Drosophila melanogaster: one gene and its partner. The protein of the gene in region 2 interacts with the protein of the main gene of each other region in a pairwise test. Each region holds a gene or a part of one and is shown on either strand. Other genes may lie near its edges. The genes, in order: CG7556 and PGRP-SA.

Region 1 (3,924 bases), 7.6 Mb from region 2:
AAGCTGGACGAACTGCATCGTCATCTGTCAATTCGCGAGTCTGAATCTGCGAATAGCCGCGCAATTCTTCCTCGGTCTTCTCTGGAGCCTTGCTGTTCTGCTTGCGCTTCCGCAGATTCTCCTTGTGCTCCTTGCGAAGGCGCGCCTGCTCCTCGGCCTCCCGTTCCAGTTCCTCCTGACGACGGACGGCCTCCAGTTCCCTGTGGATGCAAATTGGGATGAATCAATTAGTTTCTTACTTCTTACTTTTGGATACCGTTCCCACACGATTTTTGTTAGCTTGTTAGCTATTCTACGCTAATCGAATTTTAGTACCTTATCTGTGGTCATATCAAGAATGCTCAGTTTCATTTGATTATCGTGCGACACAAAGACTGACAATATTCCTTCTTTGGAACCTATCTAATGGTGCAAGTCATCTTAAGGTGCACTCATGAGCACCTTTTTTGGAAAGCATAAAATGTGTTTGCATGGTGACATATCGTTTTCTTTCTTTGTTTCTTAATTGAATTGCCTATATTTAGAAGAATTGTTCTAGCTTGTGAATATAAAATGCTAACTAAAGGCTATGACCAAAATTTCAACTGAGAAATGAGAAACTAACCAACTTTTAATATTAAATGATATCACTCTGCATGCAATGAACATACAGAAACCACAGCGAATTAACGATAAGAGTGGCAATGTAAGTTATCAAAACCTGATGCAATACAAAACTAGAATTATATTCTTTTGTTGCTCTATATACTAAGATATTGAAGACTAAAGTAAGAGAGGTCTGCCAAAACTCCGAGCACAAGGTCGCAAAATAATAATCCTTCCGCTGCCAGGACCTCTCGATATAGAAACTTAATGAAATAGCAAAATCCTACAACTCCAAAATGACTACAATGGAACAAGGCGCTATAATAACGTAAAAACGTAAGGTAAGCAATAGAACCCTGCCACTTACTGCCTGCGCTTCTCCAGGGCGAGTTCCTTTAGCTCGTTGGCCTTGCTGAATCCGTTCTTGATGGTGCGCGGCAGGTTCCACAGGGCCAAGGGGATCTGGATGGGCAGGGTGTTGAGTAGCGAGGGCATCGGTATCTCGCTAAGGATCACGTCCATGTCGATGTTCTTGTTCTTCTTCTGCAGCTTCTTCAGCTTGGTGCCAAAGACCTGTTCGGCGGTGTACTTCTTCTCGAGGTAGGCCGCCCAGGCGAATAGATACTGGCCCACGGTGGTTATCAGGAAGAGGATAAAGGCGCCCTCATAGAGCCCGATCTTGCGCATACGTCGGTAATAGTAGAGGGCAGACTTCCAGTTGGGCATGCCCTCCTTCAGTACCCGGTCGTACTTCTCTCGGCGCGACGGATCTTTGAGAACCTCGTAGATGGAAACGAGGTTGCGGAACTGGATGTTGGCATCCTCGGCCGGATTCTTGTCCGGATGCAGGACAATGGACAGGGTGCGGAAGGCGCGCTTCACCTCGGCGCCCGTTGCCGTTTGGTTGATGCCCATGAACTCGTAGAAGTTGCGGTTTACCTCCTCGACCAAGTCAAAGATCTCCAGTTCCTCCGAGTGCCAGGCGCTGGCGCCAGTGGCGCAGAGCAGCAGGAGGCCGGCCAGCGTCAGCTCCGGTCGCATCATCATCGTGGTCCGAGTTCCGAATCCAGGTCAGGTCCAAATCGGAGTAAAATCCAAATTTAATGCGCCAGACCCACGCACGCACCACAAATACACACACACGCAAGCAAACACGGATAGGCTCAGCTGGAAAGTGGCAACGTCAGCAGACTGGTCGCTGGTGCGACAGCGTTGCCACCACTCGGTAAAGTTTGTGTAGACAAAAAGATATTTGCAACGTTTCTATTATTTATTTTTACGAATTTCTGTTTTTTTGTTCAAAAATAATTTACTGCACTAATTCTGTAACCATATATATGTAATCAAATTTTACAAATTTTTTTTTCCAACTAACGACACACAGTAGGTCAAACAGATTTCGTTTGTTTGCTCATTAAAATTTGCTCATAACATTTGTCAAGTTCTTCCTGAAAACAATAAAACAAATTCTCTTTCTATACCGAATTTTGTTTTAACTTGATACACGTTTTTCACCTGTTTCAAACCAAAACGCCCAACACTGTCGACTGTTATCGATAAGCTCTCGATGGTGCATCACTTGTGCAACTAAATGAATAGAAGCGACGCGACGTTTCACTCTTATAAGAATAAGAAATCAGACGACAATGAAGCTGCTCTATATGCTGTGGCTGCTGAGCATCTTGGTCCTGGTCTCAGGCCAGCAGAAGCAGACAGCTAACTCCGCCACCAAGGACGCCCCAGTGGTGGCCAATGCGACGAACGTGCTGCAGGCCAAAGTTATTCCAGGATCGAAATTGGAATCTGGATCTCCGGGAGCTGCCAGCCAGCTGGTGCCGGGTAAGGATGCAGCTGTGTTGCAACAGGACAAGAACTTAAACAAAACGGCCACAGCAGAAAATGCAGGTAAAGCCAAAAATCTCACAAACACCGATACAGGAGTGCCCACCATTCCTTTGGTCACTTCCAAGCCGGCTGTGGAGCAAAAGGCGGCCAAGGAGGCGACCAATACGACCTCCACTACAACTTCTTCCACCACGACCACCACCACCACGGCAAAGCCAGCTGCAGGATCAGCCATAGTCACCGAGGGCCAGTCCATGAAGGATGTCACCAAGCCGAGCAACTCGTCCACCAACGGCGCGGCAATATCCCCGACCAACAGCACCCACACCGCCACAGCCACCACCAAAACTGTCAATTCAACCATCATCGCAACCACGCCAAAGCCGAAGAAGCCCCCAGTGGTATTGAGCACTGATATACACCAGGAGGGGGAGGATATGGCGGAGCTGGAAAAGAGTCAGGATAAGCCAGGTACAAAGGGCGCTCCCACCCAGCCATTGGCCACACCACCAGAGCCATTGGTGCAGGGGCTTACTGGAAGTAATCTTGCCGATCACGGAGAGAACGGGTATGTGGTACCCATTGTTACCGTGCTGCTGACCGTTCCGCTGGCCATCGGCGTGGTGACCATCATGTACCGCCGCTTCCGCGACATGTGGAGCACCAGGCACTACCGTCGCATGGACTTCCTGGTGGACGGCATGTACAACGACTGACGAAGACGCGGACGACAGGCTGGCGGCAAGGGCGGCCACTTCACCGGGTGCTCCAACGCCTCCTCCGGCGCACTCGGATGATTATTAGTTGTTTAAGTTATACACGACTGGACGTGCTTGCATTCAATGCAAGATCGCCGGATCGAAAGCAGAGTGAGAGTAGCGGAGAGCAGAGGAGGCGGTGGGAAAACGAAACGAAACTATGATATTGCTCAGTCAATTAGAGGAGGAGGAGAAAGGGATTCGCTTTGCAGCGTGGCTAGGATACCCTTCCGAGCGGCCAAATTGAATTTAAAGCCAACTGATTTTCAACACTAAATTCGAGTGGACTCTTAAGTTTAAGCATTTGGATTATTGTCAAGCATTTGTTAGCAATCAAAAATTGATACCGGCACTTATATGTACCCTATATATACATATATCTACTTAGGCTGCTGCTGTACATCGAAGGCTGCGGACTCTCAACCATCAACCATCAACATCAACATCAGCGCAATTAGCAATCACTTGATGCATCCACAATCTAGCCGTAATGTGCCTTACGAACCAGCTCTATATACACCTTTACACATGATATTCTCCATCGCCGGGTCTTCGAGGTGATTTCTTCGCATTTACTTTACGCAACCAAGCAGCAGCACTCACTCAAAAAAAAAAACCAGCAGAAACCAAAAACACAAGCAATCGGCCTGAAACAAGCAAATTTATTGCATACCATGTGTATATACATAAATATGAATATATATATATATATATATACATATTTCTTATTGTTATT
Region 2 (3,858 bases):
TTAAGTACCGACTACGCTCGATCGCCCGAACGGGAAAGGTGAATTTAATAATATTATGTTTGTATACAGCAAATAGGTCTCTCATACAAAATTCAATACTGTTTGCAAAAGTAGCTTTAAACAAGTTGTATAAATTAGCCTACAGTTTCGTATTTGGTTTTGTGGTAAAGTAAACATTTTGAATTGTTTGCGTTAACCAGAAAAGCGAATTCGAAGCCATTTATATTTGCACAAATTGTTTCAAGTTGCAATTCTCGAACTGTATTCGATAATGCGAATCTATTTCTTTGCACAACCCACTGTATGAAATTGTTTACTAACTGGAAGACTCTTGTCACTCTTCTGCAAAGTACTTTCACATTTTTTTGAATATCCCTATTCTTATTTTGCCTAATGTTAGTATAAAGACCCTAGTTATTAAAAACAACAACAAAACAAGCCAACGTCAGACACTATTTGTAGCGTTTTCCATATACCCTTTAAATCCCTAATTAACCCGATCAGTTGTTTTCGCCTGCACACAAATGTTACTTATAAAGCATAAGAATGCAGGCACCCACCCATACACTACACTATATATTCATATATATTTTTACGTCCGACACATTTTTGTAAATTATGACAGAAAACAAAATAGAAAATTATAAAATAAAAACCACAAAAAAATACTCAACAACATTGGTTTATTTACTTTACTAAACTGATATGCTCATTCTGGCAGACTACTGCAATTACTTGTAGTTGATTTAGGGATTTGAGAGCCAGTGCGGCCACTCTTGGATCTCGTTGTATAGAGTCAGTCCGGGACTCTGGGTGCTGATCACCTGGGAGCCGGCGATCAGGGCGTAATCCTCGCTCAGCTCACCCTGCTGCACTCCGCAGGCCAGCAGATCTTTGGCCGCCTGGAGAGCCGCATCCGATGGAAGTTTATCTATCGGAGATGTTGGGCATGTAGTGCTCCACATAGCGGAGAATATCGATTTGCAACTTACCCACAAAGTTGCCGATAAAGGCTATGCCCGTGCCAATGGCATTGTATCCATAGGTGTGGGCACCGCGCAATCCCCAACCAGTGCCTTCGTATACGATACCATCGTTGCCGATCAGGAAGCTGAAAGAGATCATTATCATAATAGTTATCTTGATAATTGCGAAGGTGCCATCCGTACTTGTAACTAATATCGTTGAAGTCCAGCTCGTTCTGATGATACGCCTGCATGTTCTGGAGAATCTCGGCGCACTTGAGCAGTCCGCTGCACTCGCCGGTGACCGTGTGATGGATGACCACATAGCGGATGGGACGCACTTGGTAGTGGAGTCCCAACGAAGGCTTGCCGCCCCACTGACGCTTCAGCTTGATGGTGGGGCAATTGGCTGGCGAACGCTGACGCGACTTTCCGGCGGAGACGAATGCCAGCAGTAGTAGCACCAGCCCAATGGCCATAATCCAAGGAGATCCGAATCGAACCGGCTGCATGATGTTGATGTGCTAAGATCTAAGGCTGGATGAGAACTGCTCTCGATGGGCTATCTGCCGGATTTATCAGGGCCAACGATCCGAGCTTTCTGGAGCTTACGATCCCGCAGAGCCACAGGGGACTCCCGTCCATTAGCCATCTCCAGATCTTCCGATCCGTCGCAAATCTCCGCGTTCTTTGTTCGGTTCTTTTTGTTTTGCATCACATTTGCGAAGCGACAAGCAAAAAGCCCAAACAACAATTTAAAACGGGTTGAAAGCCGATCTCTGTGATGGAATTTCCGCTTTTCAGCTAGTGACGAATGCTTCCCTAGAAGCAGTAAGATTTGTGATATGTACACACGAATACTAACAGTTAAACTAAATTAATGATTAGCTGAAAGTCTCGCGAGAAGTTCACTGATAACAGCCGCAGAGAGCGTTAGATTTTTATTTTTTTGTTTGCAAATTGAGTAGTAAATATGTAAAAAAAAAGTATAAGTGTAGCAATATTACTCACGAATATATTGTGTATATTATCGTTCGAGCTTATAAATGAAAAGATATAGAAGGCTCGCATGCCGACATGTCGTTCATTAAATCAATTTATGGTTAATGAATTAAAAAAGAGGGCGAGGAAAAACGTATACTTCCCTTAAATAGAACGTAATGGCAATAGTTTTTGCCAAAAAACAAAAAATGAACAAACAATACATTTTGTAGGTCAATGAAATGCGTGTAAATGTTTAATACCGTCCGCTTTTCTTTACTAACTTCAATTTCCAAGGGTAAAAGTGTTAAATGCCAGCTAAAAAAAGGCAGTTTCAATAGTTTTTGCCAAAAAACAAAAAATGAACAAACAATACATTTTGTAGGTCAATGAAATGCGTGTAAATGTTTAATACCGTCCGCTTTTCTTTACTAACTTCAATTTCCAAGGGTAAAAGTGTTAAATGCCAGCTAAAAAAAGGCAGTTTCATTAGGATGAATAACTCGCGGGAAAAGTTAAAGATTCTTTTAAAAAGTAGATAATAATTGACCCCCATGCTATGAACTTGATTGCGATGTGTGTGGTGTCTATAAATTGTGAATTACTCATGGCATTTGCATTTGCATGTCTCTGCCTTAAGGTTTTCCACCGAAGGCGATCCGCATTGCAAATGCATTACGCTAACCACTGGATGCATTTTTTTATTCATTCATTCATTCTATTTTGGTTTCTGTTATTATTGGTGCTATTGATAAAAGCCGTTTGCCCGATAACTGCCACCCACTACAGGGCGGGGCAATCCGGCGTCATCTCCGCCGCACTAGCGTTACTCATCAGACTTACCGCTCAGTGTTTTACTGCTGCACTGCAAGAAAGACTATCTAATTTCGCGTTACTTCACCGAAAGTGATATTATGTTTATCAAAGTTTTTATGGCTTTGTAATTGATGATATAAACAAATGGTTATAGACATGGTATTGGATATCATTGGTAATAGATATGTTGTTTATAAATGGGGTTATCCATAAATAATGTACGAGCAGATCAATCAGATATTATTAATCATATAAATTCAGTGTGCATATATACTTTGTGGTACTAGATAGATTATGCATATCTTACATATTTATATAATAATTCTAATTCTAATATGAACACACACTAGTATTTCTTTTCAGTGCACTCTCTATCGCCCTCACCCACTTTTCTCACTCTCCACTTTCAGGTGGCGCTGAGTCAGAGAAAAAGTCCGAGGAGCTTCCACTAGCAAGTTTAATTCCTTTCTTTTTAATTGCCAATCCGTGGGCGGCCAATGAACAGTGTCAAGGGGGCGTGGCCGGGGGCCTAGTTGCACTTGAAGATTACAAATATTAAGGTTGGCCGCTCCGCTGCTTGGCTGCTCTGCCGCTCACTCGATGACATCATGACGTCAGGCGTCATTTATACCGCGCTAGCCAGCAGTCAAGTCAACTTGTTGGCGTTGTTGGCTGAATTGCCTTGCTGATACCCTGGATGAAAACGCATCCGGGTGGCATAGACCAGTCATTATTTCCAATGTTGTGGCCAAAAAACTAAATATTTTCTTCCTTTAAATCTGAAAACCGTCTTTTGGCCAAAAATACGATTTATGCAAAGGGTGTTTTTATCATAACTTGTCTAAAAATGGTCATAAACGCATAGGAATGACTGTTTTGTGCAGCTAATAACCCCTACTAACTATCCCTATCACTTTTTGATGGATTTTGAAAAATTAATTTTTGGGTCGATTTTTGCATATTCGGTATTCATCAAAATTTGCGAAAAATGGCAAAAAATTAAAAATCCAAATTTTAAACACAGTTTGATTAGAATTTTGAATACGAACTCAACGAGGTATGACAATCCATATTTGGATCATTATTTCCAATGTTG

The links.
Region 1: the proteins of PGRP-SA (region 2) and CG7556 interact in a two-hybrid assay, tested with the Drosophila melanogaster proteins (one large-scale study listed by BioGRID).

What each region holds. Positions count from the first base shown.
Region 1 is NC_004354.4:19,178,048-19,181,971, forward strand, and holds the start of CG7556 (uncharacterized protein), read right to left. Parts: upstream 1,784-3,924; 5' UTR 1,633-1,783; coding exon 953-1,632; intron 201-952; coding exon 1-200. Other genes in the region: CG7453 (uncharacterized protein), read left to right, coding at 2,232-3,146.
Region 2 is NC_004354.4:11,559,592-11,563,449, reverse strand, and holds PGRP-SA (peptidoglycan recognition protein SA), read right to left. Parts: upstream 1,808-3,858; 5' UTR 1,478-1,807; coding exon 1,170-1,477; intron 1,112-1,169; coding exon 993-1,111; intron 932-992; coding exon 747-931; 3' UTR 671-746; downstream 1-670. UniProt on the Drosophila melanogaster protein: Peptidoglycan-recognition protein that plays a key role in innate immunity by binding to peptidoglycans (PGN) of Gram-positive bacteria and activating the Toll pathway upstream of spz activating enzyme SPE.